Schizosaccharomyces pombe: one gene and its partners. The protein of the gene in region 3 interacts with the protein of the main gene of each other region in a biochemical or structural test. Each region holds a gene or a part of one and is shown on either strand. Other genes may lie near its edges. The genes, in order: prp10, uaf2, prp2 and bpb1.

What was found.
Region 1: the proteins of prp2 (region 3) and prp10 form a complex in vitro, tested with the Schizosaccharomyces pombe proteins (one study listed by BioGRID).
Region 2: the proteins of prp2 (region 3) and uaf2 form a complex in vitro, tested with the Schizosaccharomyces pombe proteins (one study listed by BioGRID).
Region 4: the proteins of prp2 (region 3) and bpb1 form a complex in vitro, tested with the Schizosaccharomyces pombe proteins (one study listed by BioGRID).

The regions. Positions count from the first base shown.
Region 1 is NC_003424.3:4,332,581-4,338,634, forward strand, and holds prp10 (U2 snRNP-associated protein SF3B1), read right to left. Parts: upstream 4,225-6,054; 5' UTR 4,208-4,224; coding exon 4,198-4,207; intron 4,147-4,197; coding exon 4,042-4,146; exon of another isoform or gene 3,976-4,041; coding exon 590-3,975; 3' UTR 555-589; downstream 1-554. Other genes in the region: pdt1 (Nramp family Mn(2+) transporter), read left to right, coding at 1-324; pdp3 (PWWP domain-containing protein), read left to right, coding at 4,668-5,891. UniProt on the Schizosaccharomyces pombe protein: Contacts pre-mRNA on both sides of the branch site early in spliceosome assembly.
Region 2 is NC_003424.3:5,323,716-5,326,996, forward strand, and holds uaf2 (U2 auxiliary factor small subunit Uaf2), read left to right. Parts: upstream 1-1,878; 5' UTR 1,879-1,895; coding exon 1,896-2,546; 3' UTR 2,547-2,720; downstream 2,721-3,281. Other genes in the region: ski7 (ski complex-interacting GTPase), read left to right, coding at 1-568, 609-693, 731-1,091; SPOM_SPAP8A3.07C (phospho-2-dehydro-3-deoxyheptonate aldolase), read right to left, coding at 3,005-3,281.
Region 3 is NC_003423.3:1,011,690-1,015,783, reverse strand, and holds prp2 (U2 small nuclear RNA auxiliary factor small subunit, U2AF-59), read right to left. Parts: upstream 2,475-4,094; 5' UTR 2,230-2,474; coding exon 676-2,229; 3' UTR 605-675; downstream 1-604. Other genes in the region: tif1102 (translation initiation factor eIF1A-like), read left to right, coding at 17-315, 368-452; fan1 (fanconi-associated nuclease 1), read left to right, coding at 3,072-4,094. UniProt on the Schizosaccharomyces pombe protein: Necessary for the splicing of pre-mRNA. The SF1-U2AF59-U2AF23 complex has a role in the recognition of the branch site (5'-UACUAAC-3'), the pyrimidine tract and the 3'-splice site at the 3'-end of introns.
Region 4 is NC_003421.2:555,665-560,284, forward strand, and holds bpb1 (zinc finger-splicing factor Bpb1), read right to left. Parts: upstream 2,585-4,620; 5' UTR 2,542-2,584; coding exon 2,511-2,541; exon of another isoform or gene 2,465-2,510; coding exon 732-2,464; 3' UTR 577-731; downstream 1-576. Other genes in the region: XP-G family protein ast1, read left to right, coding at 1-536; SPOM_SPCC1672.01 (histidinol-phosphatase), read left to right, coding at 4,403-4,434, 4,551-4,620. UniProt on the Schizosaccharomyces pombe protein: Necessary for the splicing of pre-mRNA. The BPB1(SF1)-u2af59-u2af23 complex has a role in the recognition of the branch site (5'-UACUAAC-3'), the pyrimidine tract and the 3'-splice site at the 3'-end of introns.

The DNA of each region.
Region 1 (6,054 bases), on a different chromosome or scaffold from region 3:
CGTGCTATTGCAATTATCCCATGCTTAGTTGTTTCGGCTGCTGTTGGACAGAGTGGTCTTAATCAAGTACTGAACGCTAGTCAGGTTTGTCTTTCTATTTTATTACCTTTTCTTACCTTTCCACTTGTAATGTTCACTTGCTCTCGAAAAGTTATGCGTGTTGTTAGTGATTCTACCAATGAAGAAACTGGACAATTGATAAGAGAAACTCACGATTATAGCTTAGGATGGACTATGACTATTGTTACATGGGCAATTTGGCTCTTTTTGACTGCTTTAAATTTATTACTCATTGTTTGGTTGGGCATGGGAGTCTCCTTCTAAATAAATTTTAGAACGCTCGTATTTTTCAAACGGCATGGTTATATGCGTACGTTCCTTTTAACATTTCCCCATAGCTTTCCTTTAATTACTACACTTAGTCCGAAATTTATTTATGTAGCATTTGCAAACCGCGTCAAGTAATTTGCGATGCTCTGTTGAAACCAAAGTTATTAACATGAAGCTGAGACATGTATACAAGTACTATCACAAATGTTTTCATGTACTATTATAATGAATATTTTTTAATAATTAACAAAAAGGGTACTTAGATGCAAATATGTAAAGTTTTCATATCGTAGTTGTTGAATTGATCGTCATCAACGTGGGGATAGTATGGTACCATAGCATCTGCACTTTGTACATAAGCAGAATTGTAGCTTGTCCAATAAGTGTTACGAACTTTACGACTCGGATGAAATAATCCTTGTACTAAATATGCCATAATTGGACCTACACCGATACAATTTCGGATGCCATCAATGCCTTCCCGAACGGCATTGATAACATGGGGCGATTCCTCCAAGATATTTGGCCATAGGATATTAAGTAAATGAATCATTGCGTCTTCAACACCCAAACCAACACAACCAAGAGACAAGTGCTTGATTACAGAAGCGGCGGTTTGCCGATGCACGGCATCGCGATCCATAAGCGCATCGGCTAAAAGAGGTGTAATGGCATAAACATAGTCGCGTGCTTGCTCACCAATGTATTCAAACATAAACGCTAATGACTTTAAAACACCATTCTGCACGTTCATTTCTGGAGTTCTGTAGTCTGCCATAAGTGCTGGTACGACTGTAAAAGGCATACATGTTTCTGCCACGATAGCAATAGCTACAGTAGTACATACACGATTTTGGCGTTCCTGGACTTTGAGATTATTTAACAAAGTAGCCAGCACGTCTTGAGGTCCGATGGCTTTTGATATATAACCAAATGTGTTGACAGCAGCACGGCGAATACTCTTTTTATGTGCTTTAAGCATATCAATTAATTCAAAACAAATACGCATCCATTCCCTAGCGGACACGTATTCCGATCCACGATCTGCAATTTTGCCAACGAGATCAATTGTATTCTCTTGGACCTTTTCATGACGGTTCCTCAAGATGGGAGTCAATCTTGGTAACAAATCACGAATAGGAGGTTGCATTGAAGACATACCAACAACGGAAACAATAGCTTTAATAGCACCAAGAATTGAGCCCAGAACCTCTGGATATTCTTCACCAAGATACTCGTACAAAACAACACCAAGTTTACGCATTAATGCTTCTTCACCACATGCCTTTAAAACAATGGTTATACTGGAAACTAAGTCGGCAGCTTGTTCGCGGACATTAGCAGACTTATTGTTTAAACGATACAATATAGTAGAAACGATCTGAGGAAGATACGGCTTACATCTTGTACCAAGAGCATTAACAACAGTACTAAAGCAAGTTAAAATAACTTTCTCCTCAACGGATTGCTCCTGAAAAGCAAATAAAACACCATCCAACAGTAGCTCTTCCAATCTTTCGTCAATCTCGGAAACACCTAAAGAGCCAATCACTTTATCGACAGTTTCAGCGGTCATCTTCCGATATGGCTCGGATTCATCTTTAAAGTTGTTGACGACCCTTTCAACAATTTGACGGGAACCTACTTGTTGAGCAAGAACAACTGTAGTTTCAACAACTTGCTTGTAGCTGCGACGATCTGATGCCATCCTTCGGGACCAAAAACAGTGAAAAAATTCAGGCAACACATCAGTTCTCAAATACTCAGGTGTTACTCCATCAGTAGATGCACATTGTGATACAACTTTGAGAACTATCTTTTTCATTTCTTCGTCTGGTGAATTAAATTCACGTAGAAGAATTTTCATGATACGCCGTGTAAAATGACTTGCATACTCAGGTTCCATAAGAGGGATAATAAAACCGGTTGCTTTTAAAAAGGCGGCTAAGCTTTTACCACGATGCCTTTGGACTCCTGACCATAATGGCTTTAAAACGCTGTCAAAAGCTTCAATACCGTAAGGAGTAGCAGCTTCAGCTAAAGCCGATAAGGACAAAGCTGTCATAATTCGTACTTTTTGTTGTTCATCTTCAAGGCCGTGACCAATACAATCAACTAAATTTTTTAAGTGTGGTAAAATAGAGCATCCTAATAACAGAGCAATCTGTTGAATAATCCGAACGCCAGTATGCCTGGCTTGCCATGATTTCTTACTTCTACAAACAGCTTTTAAAAAAGGTAAAAGAGCCGGCACGCCTAGTGCAGAGGCAACAACCGAAAAGGCACGGGCTGTGGTGTTTCGGACATATTCGTCGACATGATCAATGTCAGGTCTCATTGTAGCAATCATATGAGCCAAGCCGGAAGCTTTAGCTAAGTTACTAATGATTTCCCGACCTTCAGCACGTGCATAGTAATCTTCATCAATAAGAAGGGGTTCAATAACTACGAGAATTTTATGAGTAAAAGGGCGAACCAGATCATCCAATTTGTATAATATACGATCAATAACCTTAACTAAAAGATGGCGCTCCTGATCTTCCAGTGTTCGTTCCATTAACAACGGAAGAATCTGATTAAATAAAGCAGCTGCACCAAAGTCGCGAGCTTGATCCGTAAGCTGGCGTAATGCACTCTTACGCATGGGAGGAGTACCATTTTTTACTTTCAGAAGTAATCTCAAAATTTTACGTTCACGAAGTTCCGCAATTGTAAGCTTGGCCTCGTCCTCCACCTTGAGTAACTTGCCAAAATATTTAACATCTTCTTGCTTAAAAAAAGCTAAATCACCTACACCGGGTATTTCTGTAGGCAATGCAGCTGGTAATTCTTTTTCTAAAGGAAGCTCTTGCTCTTGTGGAACGTGATATGTATCGAGCGTAGTACCTTTTTGAAGTAGTTCAGGATGAATTGATTCTAAATATCCAGGAGGAGGCTCCAAAATAGCATAGCCTTCTGACGGCAAAAGCTCATTTAACTCTTCTTCAGTTAATAAACGGACAGGAGGTCGTAATTTTTCTTCTACTACATTTACTTCCTTATTAATAAGATCTTCAGAAATTCCGTTTTCTATAACATGTTCAGATATAGTGAAGTTTTCAGGAGCTTTGTCCCAACGTGATCTACGCTTAGTAGTGGAAACCTGCGTAACGCTAGGTGGAGCCTGATCCCAACGAGAGCGTTTAGGCTTCTGAGATATTTCCGTATTATTAAGCTCTAGTTCTCTTTTTTTGTCCGATATGCTTTCCTCCTCCTCCACCTCTTTTAGTGTTCCTTCACGACGTCTTTGATTTAATTCCATATGAACTCGTCGCTCTTCCTTTTCTAATTCAACCTGCCGCATAACCTCCGCATAAGATCTTCCATTGCTCTGTGTCCCATCAGGTTGAAAAGCATCTACGCGGGTTGGAGTAAGCTGTCTATCATAACGCTGCTTTTGATAATCTGACTCGCGATCCTGAATTTGCTTTTTTGACTGTCTCTCTTGCATAGGGTCATAACTTTCATCAGCGTATTCATTTAGTAGTTCCTTAGGTGCTTCATATTGACGCACTAAACGATAACTATCATTAACATCGTTTGTACGTTTATAATCGTCTTCATCCTGAGAGATATCATTGCGCACGTCAATTGCGGAGTCATATTCTTCTTTTGGGTTACTGGACTTAAAAAGATGAGCATTATATTGTAAATCATTAGAATCCTGGGTACCTTCAATATTTACACTTCCATTTGTCGACGAATTCTTCGCTGCCTCTTTTTGTCTTCGCAAAAGTTCTCTTTCAGCACGAAGCCTTTCTATTTCCACATCTTCTACTTTATTTAGGTTAGTAACATCCATTTTGAACATTTTATAAGGATACGTACCAGTTGACATGTTGATGGCGAAGAAATGCTTTCATGTTGCGCGTCTTATACTCATTTAAATATACTCAAAGCATTCTAAGCTTCGTTATCAATATTTTAAAGTACAATACAGTAACTCGTTTTGTAGAATAACGATAAGATTAACGTGTCTTATTTAGTTTAACCCTCTTTATTAAGATTTATTTGCGAAAGAAATATATACTATCGAAAAAATTAGTATGAGGAATGATATTGAAATATCGAGGTATCATATTGCAACAGCTCAAGCTTTTAGCACCCCCCCCCTCTGCTATTGTAGATCTTGTAAGCGTTGCTGCAATTAATTGATAATAGACAAGCGTCTTACGGTTTCTACTTGTATATCCTAATATTTGGTGGAACCTTTACAAATTGATGTAAAATCTCTTTGGAAAAATTCAGCACTATATCGCTTTAATGTGAAGTTTGGCTTATAAGGAATGTAATTAACGATGATGGTTGCTAGGACACGCAGTCAAAAAAGAAAGCTTGAAGAGATTAATAACCAGAAGAAGATTAAAACAAAAAAAAAGGCCACCGGGCAACAGACTTCTAATACGAAAAATCTGCGTGATGTTAAAAAGAAAGGTAAACAATTAGCGTATGTTCCGAGGACGTCACCAAGGAAATCATATAAAAATGGGGAATATGTTTTAGCAAAGATGAGTAGCTTCCCATGGTGGCCAGCCAGAGTAGCGAGCCAAAAATCAATACCCACTGAGGTACGCGAACGATTGAAACGAAATTTTCGAATGGACAATGGAATATTTGTTCAGTTTCTTCCTTCAAGAGATTACGCTATTATTTCTTCTTCAAATGTTTTGCCCTTAACTGTTGATGAATCAAGGTTTATTTTGGACCATGATTTATCGACAAAGTATATCCAAAAGACGGTAGGTCTCATCATTGCTTCCGTAAAGAGAAAAGTTTCTTTTTCTGATGTCGAAGAGGATGAGTTTGAACCAGAGAATACTCGTAAAAAACTTCAAAAGCCCATCGAGAAACCAAAAAAGGAAAAGATAGAAGCCACACCTAAAATTGACGGGGGTAAAAGGTTAAAAAATGAGAAATCGTCGGCAGAAATTTCTCAAACATCGAAGCAACGACCTTCACGTAGGTCAGCTCGAGTTAGGATGGCTACAGACAACGCTCAGAAATCCCCATCTCCAATTCCTTCTCCCAAGAAAACAGCCAAAAAAAGAGTAAGGTTTGCCGGTTCTTTAGAGGAATTACCAAAATTTTCACTTGAATATCAATTGGCTCAGCCTATAAGTACTGTAGATATGTATGCTCAAGTTCATTATATTCGATTTAATACTCTTTTATATTACCGCTACCAACTACAAGAAATCCTACTGTCATATAATCATTATCCTCAAGAATCGGATATGTCTCATGTGCACCAAATATTGGAGATGATTGAGAATTTCAGCGCAATAAATTCTGAACTATTAGAATCAACCAAGTTGTATTCACTTTTTACTTTGCTTGTTAAATTAAGCGACATACCGTTGGATGAAAAATATGACTTTTCTTCACGATTTTCGACTCTTCTCCTTCAATTCCAAGCATTCGTTCAGCCCAAAACCATGACAAGTAATGTATCTACAGCGCCCATTGGAAAGAATGCTCAAGTGAACACAGAAGCTGCCAGACCATCTGTCATCACTACCTAACTTTTGATCATACATTCATATGCTTTTGTTATCGAATTACATAACTAATCTTGTTTACATTTAATGTTACGATAATATTTGCTTCCAACATTTTCATTAATATAGAACGCATTATTAGCGCGACTCAATGTGTTTATGGTACAAATCGTTACAATACGTTATC
Region 2 (3,281 bases), on a different chromosome or scaffold from region 3:
ACTACTAATGCAAGTTCTCGAGATAATTTTCTAAAACATTCAAGTTTGTTTCAAGTAATGAACACAGCCATTTTCACCATTGATTGTCTGAATCCTTTGGAAGGTCTTGATGGAATATCTTCCATTTTACAATTGATGAATGGCTTATCTATTTCAAGCTATATGTTTGCTATCACTAAGATGGATGAAATTGAGTGGGATGAAAATAAATTCATTAATCTTGTTAACTCGATTCAGAGCTTTCTGAAAGAAAGTTGCGGAATAATTGAGAAATCAAAATTCATTCCGATAAGCGGACTAAAAGGAACCAATCTTACATCCATTAGTCAAGAAAAATTATCCCAGTGGTATAAATCTGATACATTGCTTGGCAAAATTGATAAAGAAGCAGATACAAATCATGGCACATGGAATTTTCTTCTTAATCTACCTCTCTCTTTAACAATTTCACACATTACTCCTTTGCCAGAAAATCAATCACATATTTACTGTAGCATCCATTCAGGCATGCTTCAGGATTCGCAAAAGCTTTATGTAGGCACAGGGAGATTAGAAACACAAATCACAGGTACGGAAGGTGTTCAATTATTTTATGTTAATCAAAAAAGGACTGAGCAGTGATGAAAATCCCAAAGGGTTTAATGTTGCTGGGGATATGATTCAAGCCAAAATCCCTACATTACCCAATTTATGGTAAGTTCTTTGCAATTCTTGTATTTCTAATAAATAGTCCTGGGATTTTAATTGCTGATAGTATCGATGCCTTTACTTCTTCGAAAACTGCTTACGTTAATGCAACTTGGTTTCACGGTTCTCTTGAAAAAGGAAAGTCGATGCATGTAATAGCCCTATTCGGCTGTCACGCAGTCCTTACCAAACTGTATTGCTTTACAGACAGTCAAGAAAAAGCTCCTAACGCAATCGGAAACGATCTTGAAAGAAATCGAACCTCACTTGTGAAAATTGAATTAGAGAATGCTTTCCCTCTCGTAAAAGAAAGCTACATTAACACCTTAAGCCGCGTTTTATTCGTTTCAGAAAAATGGAATAGCTTAATTGCGTTTGGAACAGTACTATCTCTGCATGACTGAATCCCTAACTTACGTATTATACTCAACTCCATATTAATTTTGCATTCGAAAAAATTTTCCGTCCTTTTTAAAGAAATTCTCTATAGATTGTTTTAAATATTGTAAAACTACCGATGTTGTTCATTTGCGTACATCTCAGGCATCGTGACATTTGGAAACAATTTGTTCTCGAGTAAATTTCCTGAGCAAAAAAAAGGAATGTGCTGTGTTAAGAATAATTTATCTTTTTTTCTTTTGAATCGTTGGCACATCAGTCTAATAACAGTAACTACTTATTCTTGATATTTTCCAAATTCGAATATAATTAGGGAAATACAAGGGAATATCTGTATATCGGATAGTTGTAAGCTACGCAGTTTGGTATCTGATTTAAGGATACGTAGAACTGTGGTGAGTTTTCCTTGTGATCTATTATATTACAATACACAGGTTATATAAGTAGCAACTGAGTATAGGTATTGTATTAACTGGGTTATAATGTTACCTATCACTAATATAGCTCATAACTGAACTGAGGAACGAGGTTCAGCAGTAGCTCTATTTATAGTATTCAGATAATATAGATCTTAATAGATTATCATTAAGATCAATCTCCATATCGTATCATACATGGTACGATATATAATTAGAACATGTGACATATAGTGATACGCAACGTAGTGTATCATAGCGTAGTGTAGTACTGCTGACAATAGTGTGCAAGAATAATTTAGAAAATTTGCGTAACTTAACGAGATGTTGCACGCCACCATTATAAGACTAGAATCATGTTGGATCACTTTATTTCATAACCACCATATAAAAATGGCAAGTCATTTGGCAAGTATTTATGGTACTGAGCAAGATAAAGTCAATTGCTCATTCTATTATAAAATAGGAGCTTGTAGACATGGGGAACGCTGCTCTCGTAAACATGTCAAACCAAATTTTAGTCAAACGATCTTATGTCCCAACATGTATAAAAACCCAATTCATGAACCAAATGGCAAAAAGTTCACGCAGCGTGAACTTGCAGAACAATTTGATGCATTCTACGAGGACATGTTTTGTGAGTTTTCAAAATACGGTGAAGTTGAACAATTAGTCGTCTGTGACAATGTTGGAGATCACTTAGTCGGAAATGTTTATGTAAGATTCAAGTATGAAGAGTCTGCCCAAAATGCTATTGATGATTTAAATTCCCGATGGTATTCCCAAAGACCAGTCTACGCCGAGTTATCTCCTGTAACTGATTTTCGCGAGGCATGTTGCCGGCAACACGAAACTTCGGAATGTCAGCGGGGTGGCCTTTGTAATTTTATGCATGCCAAAAAACCAAGTCCTCAGCTTTTACGCGATTTGGTACTAGCACAAAGAAAGTATTTGGCCTTAAATGCAGCAGAAGAAATGAAAAAGGAGCCCAATAGTGATTCCACGAATCGATGGGTCAGTGTAACTGCTGAACGCAAAAATTAAATAGCAACTTATGGAATGTATTTGTTTTGGATTCTGGTTTGCTTTTGTACGGTTTTACTTCGTTTATTATGATTAATCTCTGGCTATAGTTTGTTGTGATTTAGGTTATTTAAATAGATGTTGCATTCTTTTATTGTTTACTAATAAACTTGATCTTTGTACAACTGTACTCATAGACGTTTTAAATTTTGTGTCCAATGTGCCTATGGCTGATTACAAGCTAAAGGAGATCGATTAGAAACATATGAAACGATCAAACATTTCGCAAAACTTGCACAGCAATTCTTAAAAACGAAGGTGTTATTGGTAGAAGCTGTGTACGATATAAGAAAAAAAAAACAAAAAAAAATAAATAGAACCCGTATTTAAGCCAAAATTGTTCAGTTGTTGTATGTTACGAAAAAATAAGTTTCAAAAATTAAAAAAATTAAAACTGCTGAATATAACATTTATATGTCTTAATTACTTTTTTGGTTTTGACGGCGAGCACGGACAGCTTCAGCAAGATCGTCTAGCATTGGAGCAGTTTGTTCCCAGCTAACACAAGCATCAGTGATACTGACACCGTACTTGAGAGTATCCTTAACGCCAGGACGGATTGGAGCATCTTGACGACCTTCATTGATATGAGATTCAATCATAACACCAACAATGGAAGAGTCGCCATTTCTGATTTGTTCGGCGATGCTCTTGGAGACCTTTGGTTGGTTCAAATGATTCTTGCTTGAGTTGCCA
Region 3 (4,094 bases):
TTAGAGAAATACTAATATGTCAAAAAAATATGGCGGTCAAATTTCGTTTGATCCACCAGCTAGGTTGGAAAAAGATCAAGTCGTCGCCAAAGTTGTGCAACTTAAAGGATCTGCGCTTTTTATGGTAGTAGAAAACAATGGACAGGAATTACTTGTTGAGATGCCTCCAAAGTATCGTAATAAAATATGGGTTAGGAGAAATGGGTTTGTAATAGTTGATAAATCTGAGTTTTTAGAGAAGGACAATAAAATTGACGGTACTATATTGTACGTGGTACAAAGCCCTTTAAAAAATTGGAAAAAACAAATTTATTGGTAAGAAATTCTCTTGAAATAACATTAGATGATTGTGCTAACTAGTTTAAAGGCCTAAAGAGTTTGCAGATGAATCGTTAAATCAAAACGATTCTGAGGAAAGCAGCAGTAGCGAGGAAGAATACGATAGTGACTAACAATTTACAAAAAATACATATATTAAGAATCCTTACAACGAACCTTGTAAATTAAACCGATGATAAAAAGCGTATAACGGGAAATGCTTGCAAGAATTACTTCATCCCACAATCGCTCATTACAATTGAGTACTTTGTTACACTTTAAACAATCCAATGAGAAATACTGATATTATTACCCTAACATTAAGATATTATACTAACCTTTTCATTGAAACTGAAATCACCATGCATTAGCTTTATAGCAATCCTCACCATAAAAAGCAATGACAATCGTGCGATCATTAAATTTACAACCTTTCATCTCTTCCATTGCGACCTCTGCAGATCTGATATCGGAGTATCGTACAAAAACCTTTCCAGTTCCTAATCCCGAGTTTCTAGTGCCAATACTACGAGGAATTTTTATATCTATAAGTGGTCCATAATTCGAAAATTGGGTCTTTACAGACTCATATATGTCTTCATATTCTTGTACATCCATAATTTCGTCCCCAGTAATTAAATTATGTAATTGTAAGACTCTAGTTGGAATAGATTGTGATGACGCCTTAGCAAGTTCTGTCAAAATGGCCATTCCATTAGACTTATCTATCATAGCTTGATTGAGACCTACACAAGCAAATTGTGCGTGTAACTTGTTCCCATACGTATCTTTACCATCAAGACCGCTGATAGCTACTTCCGCATCAGAAGGATTTTTAAATTCGCAAAAACAAAAACCCTTCGAAGATCCATCTGCAATATTTTTTATCAATTGAAAGCTTAATAAATCACCGAAAGGCTTAAGTAGCTCCACCACTTGATCTTCGCCTAAATTTAAAGGTAAATTTGAAATGTAAATTTTGTCTTTTGAATCTAAAACGTCGTTCTTGGCATAATCATCACTTCTTTTTTGAGAAACTTCGGGGGTAATTTGAGGGACGATGTAATTTTGAATTCTTTGAAATTTTAAAAAGACATCATTAGAATATGATTCGGACTGAAGCCCCCAGAGGAAGGTGGCATCTTCAGGAGTAGCGACCTCAAGAATAGCAAAGTTTTCTTCTTTACAGACGTTGACAGAGGAGAAATGCTTTGTCTCGGGTTTATGGTATGTAGTTGAAATAAATAGATCTTCGATAAATGATACAAAAGCATCTTCAACGAATTCGTTAGGAATTCCAGTAACCACTAGTCGACGAGCCTGTCTGCTAGCACCTGGTTGTAAGGGCGGAGGGGGAGCAATAATACTTCCTTCCGCAGAGCGAGCAAATTCTAGCAATTTCTCTGGATCAGTAACTGCAGCTCTAGGAGCGCCTGGCAAAGGAAAAACACCAGACATTTTCGCCTGGTCAGCAGTAACCAATTCATAACCAGGTGGTTTAATGTCCCATAAAGAGCGCTTCCTTTTCCACTGATTTATTGGTGTTACATCTCTCAATTGTTCGAGTTCCTGTTCGATAGACCTTACGCTTCTTTCTCGGCTGGGAGGTGGACTTCTACTTCTTCCGACAGATGAATAACGTAATGATCGAGGCTCATAATCATCATATCTTCTTTCTCTTCTTGGCCTCTCATCCTCTCGATAACTTCTTTCACGAGATTCTCTATGTCTACGAAAATCACTTTCGTCTCGGCGACGTCTTCTAGGTCGTTCAGAGCCATAATGGCCTCTCGGGTCTTCCCTTCCTATCCCACCCGAACCTCTTTCTCGTCTAGGTTCTTCATCGCGATAATCTCTGTGTCGCTTGGGTATCCGTGAAGAACCTGATGATAATCTGGAAGACAAATCCATGTTAGTGAATGAATATGAGGCTATTTAAAAAATTATTCAAAAAAGAAGGGAGGGAAGAAATTCGTTTATTAAAATGAACTCTTAAATTCTCCGGAAAAAACTTTGATGAAAGTAGGGAATACAAAAGTACAAATTCTAATGAAATGATATGCGCGTCAATGCTCTTGGATTCCTTGCTAAAAAAAATTTATAACATGAACAATAATAATTAACTTATTTTTTCTTTATGTGATACGCCCAAGGTTAGTCAAAAGTTTCGACTTACTAAGTTAAGGTAGTGAGAGTTTGTAGTAACTTCGCCAGCGTCGTAATTTTAAGCACAACGTTGTTGACTTACATTTTCTTTTTAGTTTCAAATAGCAACTTTCGCTAAACTTGCATTATAGACAACACTGTAACTTACGAATGCAGTTAAATTTTCAAAAGCATTTATTTAAACTGTTGTCCTTACCCTAGTACCATTCTCCTAAGTTTTAACGAATTTTTCTCTTTTGACCATAGTATTTGATTGTATGGCTTTCTTTTAAAGCAATCTTTAAAAATTTACAGCTGCCATGAAATTCAATAATTTTCGTTTTTTTTTTGCCAGTACATCCACGATAGATTTAATGTTTGTCTCATTTTATCCTTGAAATCCATGCTCTTAAATTGTATGTTCAATCTTTTAAAAATTTACTTTATTACACAAGAAGACGTTTACATTCATTCAAAATTTATTATTATTTATTTTCATACTAGCTTTCCATTGTTGTAAAAGCCGCTCTTTTTTTTAAATATTTGTTTACTTACGGCCATCATCTTGTGCACTTATTCAGTCGCGCTGCTGTGATATCTAAAAATTCATGAAACGATTCTTTAATGAAGCGTGCGACATAAACACTCCAGATAAATCTGGGGTAAACGAGAACAAGTTATGTTTCCCTCCCTTAAAAGTTGTATGTCAAGCACCAGAGACAACAGTTAAAGGACAAGTTGCCAATACTAATAAGCACAATGTATATTCTACTAAAAATTCAATGTATCTGCTGGGGTTCGAAGAAATCCTAAACACCGTCCTCGATTGTGAACCGCATATCTTTACTGATGATGAGTTGAGGGTTATTGAAAACTTTAAAGCTTTAGACTCGGATGAACGGTACTTGTTTGTTCGTCTATTCATGCGTAAAAGAAATAAATGGTTCCGCGTGGGCCATTTGACTTATCCAGATTGCAAGGATGTTATTGCCTGCTGTAAGCAGCTTGTTCTGAAAAATTTTTTTGAAGATGAATCACTCATGTCAACTGAAGAAATAATTGAAATTCTATCTCTCGATGAATTGCGTTCGTTAGCTAGACAAACGAAGGTGTGTGGAAAAAGCAGGTCTGAAATTTCAAAAGAAATCATTTTCCTATCTAAAAGACAATCAGTACTACATTGTAATGGTCAACAATTTTTGTCCTTTGATGCTTTTGGTGTGATGCATAAGCAAGAGTCGTTTCTTCGGAAGCAACTATTATATCAATGCAAATCCTGTGTGAAACCAAAGAAAATTTTAGTAGACCTATTTCATCGAATTAATATTGTGTACTTTCGTTCGTCCATTTATGATGAACAATCGCTTACGTCTTTAATATTAGCACGCCTTAACAAATTTTCCTACCCGAATTACGTTTTATCGCGAACTTCAAACGTCTTTAATTGTCGTGCTCAATGCCTTGAATACGTTGAGGTTTTAGAACTTTCAAAAAACTTGGTTCCAATCTTTGAAAACACTGCCGCTTCGGATAAGGAAGCACTCGAACAAGCGTTGAACAGTTTTTTTGAAATATATCCTATATGGTCGACATATCTAAATGAAGACATTAGGGAATTTTGGGTGGAAGAA
Region 4 (4,620 bases), on a different chromosome or scaffold from region 3:
TTTCTGTAGATTATGATTATGCTACAGTCTGCGAAACGTTGGATAGCAAATTTTCTAACTGGAATTTACCGCACAGGCTAGTACTATGGACTTTACGGTGTATGAAAAATTTAAACAATATTACAGCTACCAGTTTCCTCTTAATGCATGTAAGTCTATTCTTAGGTAGTCCTATGAACTTGCAGCCGGTGGAACCTACGCAAGAGGACATTGCCAGCGTTTCTCGTTTTATAGCGACAATATATTCGATATGTATGTTGATATTCAGTGAAGACAAGGAACAGTCTTCTATTAGTTTTCAGGAATTTGTTTCATTCAGCCCTCTATCAAGCACTTTAAACTTTGCTTTATTTCACCAAGCAGCAAGTAAGCTGAAGACAGGTAAAAGCCCACTAAGCATTGTTACAGATAAAACTACTGCCTCATTAACCTATAAAATGTACAAAGACCTCACGAACGATTACTCTGATATTTACATGATAATGGATATTTGGAAACCAAAAAGGAAACGCAAGACTAAAAAAGATCAATCATAGATATACATTTTTGTCACATGAATTACAATCAAACAAAATTTTTTGGGAAACACGTTATAAAATTAATGAATTAAATTCAAAACATATATCGAATACTTTTAAACCGTAAAAATTAAAAGAAGCAATTGGCTTGCATAAACCTTTTTTTTCAACCTCATTATAATATGCGACAAACTATTAACAAATACATATATTCTATCGATTGGAATATCCGTTTGGCATTGAAACACCGGGTGGGGCATTTAAATTAGAGGACTCCGACGTATTGTATGAGCCTGGTGCACCAGGGGGAGCTGTTGCACCAGGTATACCAGGCATAGCAGGAACAGCGGGATATCCAGGAAATGGTGCGGGCATGCCAGGAGGCAAAGCCATTCCAGGTGGAACCATGGGTGGTTGAGACATATTCAGGTTCGGCATACCAGGCGCCCCAGGAATTGGTGGCAGAGGCACACCAGGAGGAGCGAATGTAGTAGGTGGAAGGGGAGCAGAAGTACCAGGGATGAATGGCGCATTTTGTGAAGGTACTAAATTAGAAGGCTGTACAGCGGACTGTTGAGTTGGCTGCTGCCAAGGAGGTAGTGAACTTGGATTCATAGAAAGGGCAGGGGCAGATTGTGGAGCAGCAGGTTGCTGCCAAGGGGCTGGATTTGAAGGGGCGGCTGATGAAGCTGGTTTGGCCCAAGGAGCAGGACTAGAAGTGCTGCTAGATACCGAAGTAGACGCAGCAGCCCAAGGTGGAGGGTGACCTGCTTGAGGACTAGCAGCTCCACTTTCGGAAAATTCAATAGATTTTTGGGGTTCACCATTACCATTGGAAATAGCCGATCCCCCACCAAGCTCTTGCATAAGACTTTGATATTCCCGATCAGCAGTAGAATCAGCCATTGGAGGTTGTTGATCTCTAACAGGACAGTCGCGAGCAATATGGCCAATACTTCCGCAATGCCTACAAACAATGTTCATTGTGTGATTGATACGTTCAGGACAATCGAAACGACGATGACCCACGTTACCGCAATTTTGGCAAACCTGATTTTCATCGTCTCGTAAAGTACCATTAAGAGTAGCAAGCTGACGAAGTTGATTTCTTTTTAAGTCGTTTTGGCCTTCTGGAACAGAAGCGGCCGTTTGGATAACATTATCAATTAGTTTTATGGCATGGTTAATTTTATCTTCAGAGTCTGCGGTAACAAGGCAGTGTAAATCTTCTTCCATATTACCTCGGACAGATGGATCGCTTCTTCCTTTTCCTTCTTTAACACTTCCTTTACCACGAATAGCAATTTTGGCTCCAGATTTTGCTTCCATATCCTTCAAAGTGTGGCCACGAGGACCGATCAGGAGGCCGATGAAATTAATCTCTGGATAATCCTTAACGGGAACGTAAACCTTCTCTTGTGTTTTTGCAGGTCTTCTATAATCACTGGGAGCACGAAAGCCTGGCACCATTTTCATTGCGCGCTCAATAATCCGGTGACGCTCATCCTCTAGCTTTTTCTTGTAACGGATTTCTCGAGTATTCAATCGGCGACCATGGTTATCGTATTGCGGAGGAGGAGAAGGGGACCGTTCACGGTGATGAGGAACAACATCACCGGTTCTAAGCTTTTGCGTAATTTCTTCCAATCGAACATTCAAAGAGTATAATTCTAATTGCTCCATAGTCATACAGGATTTAACGGCAGTTTCCAGCTCCATTTGGCTTGGTAACATTTCCTCAATCGGGGTTGGATGACCCCAATAATGTTTTCTATAAGCTCGACGACCTCGACCATCGTGATAGCCATCCGGTCTATGATCCATTCTGGAATTGCTTTTATAAGAATCGCGATAACCATTACTCATTCCATTTGCATCAGGCAATGGTGGTAAAGAATCTGGTTTTTCGTCAAACCGCCTCCTTCCTAAGGGAGTATTATTCGAACCTAAAAATATTAATAATTTGCACTAATAATCTCTTAAAACACTTACCAGTAGACCCTACTGACCTTGAATTCAGCATTTTAATAAGACTGCTAGATCGAAGACGGGCGTTGGTTCTTGGTGAAAAGTAACGACTGAAATGTAGGAGGCAAGGAGGCAATAAAGTAACGGACGAAACTGAAGATACGACACGTTTGAGACAAACGAGTGCAATAACCGTCTCGCTAAAAAAGAATTAAATGTATAATTACTTGAATAAATTTTCAAATGAGACTATTCAGTCAATGATAAGTTCAACCGAAATTTTTTTTTTCTAACAATACAGCAAGCAGTTCTTGCACTTGTTTCGATATTCAGTTATTGATCTTAAATCGGTTTAGTGTATCTCTATTCATTGCGCTAAATAAATCTAACGTACTTTATTATAAACAGCTTTAAGCATCATTGCAATTTGGATTTACAGAAACGAGACTGGCGGATTACGGCTTAGATATGATATGGAAACATTCATCTTTCTTAAAAAATAATCAGACAATGATGGAGAGTTCCACCTCTGTTTGGTAGGGTAAAGCGTTGATTCTTCTTTTTTTTTGCGATTAAAACATACTTTAGAGTTCGCTAAATAATAATTCAAGCATCAAAGTTAAGCGAATAGGAATTGTAAAAGAGAATATTGTAATATTATATTGTAATACCAGTATACAGGCATATCCTTATTTTGTATCGAACAATAGATAGGAGGTTTTTAGAGGGTGAGTAATGCTCAAGAATAAGTCAGTAGAAAAATTTTTGATATTTTTCTGAATTTGGTTCATAATTAGATGGAAGTGCAAACTCTTATTGCCCATGACCATTTTGTTGAGCTTGGGTTGGAATTATAGCGAAATCCAGCAAGGTTTACATTGAGAAACCAGAATCGAAATTAAAAGAAATTGGTTTTGGAATGATAAATAGTACTTATGTTTTAGTTGATAATGAGAAACATTTTTGTAAAACAGGCTGCGGGCATACAATCTTTTTTTCATATTCCAAGCGACATTCCACCACTCGGCATGCAAGCCTTCCTTATCTGATCAGATAATTTGCCTAGAGAAAAATTTACTCATGAAGAAAAATAAGGATTCAGTGTGTTTAGTGCTTTGTTTAAATTCTATTAATTTAATTCTTTACTATCAAACTCAAAAATGCATGATACCATAACATCTTAGGAACATTGGAAAGGATCTGATTTTCATTAAGAAACGTTTTTGCCAAATGTTCATACAACTCCAATATGACCCGTTTTACTGTGTGAAAGAAGCAGAGTCAGGATCGTAATTTTTTCGTAAATGAATCAAGCTGCTTGCATTTTATCAAACCACAGAACCTAGTGTGAAAGTTCGAATTTGGGGAATACCGCACTTCACCATATGCTGAAAAAAGTCGTTAACAAAAATTGATTCCAAAAGATGTCCGGTACGCTGAGTGATCGAAACAACCGGCTCGTTAGAAAGGCATTCCAGTAACTCGTTAGATCTCTTATAAAAATTTGATTCCCAATTTTTTTACGGCTCGTTCCGTCTGTTTCATCCATTTCCCACATTCATTCGCATTTTGGTATTGAGCCGTTAGTTGATATAATTCTGGATTTTTCGTTTGGTAAGACGCTAATGCATCTTTAAGTTTTGGTTGGGTTAATTTAAACTAATTATCTGAAATTTATAGTTATCATTCCATTTTTTCGGTCGACTGCGAAAATATTTACTTTTGTCGTTTTATAGATAGCTTGGATTGTATTTGTTGGGAATCAATTTAGATAAATATTTTGGATAGTCTTTGGTGCATTGTCGAATTTTCTCAATTCTGTTTTGGATTTCCAATTTTAACACAGTTCAGCTTCATCGATATTCATTCTTTTTTTTCGGTTCAATTTTGCAAATACGCTACATATTATCATAATAATGCCAATTTCTAGTCATTCTCATAGTGGGCAGTATGTTTGCTTTTAATTTGTAAACAAGCGATACATGTTGATGTGTTTGCCTGAGATTTTACAGATGAATTTTTTTTTTCTTTTATTCAGTGACAAACCACTAACTTTTATTGAAGATTTTGTTTGCATGCCCAGGGCAAACTAGAAGATGTAATTCAGGAAGCCATACAACAAGGTTTTCAATCG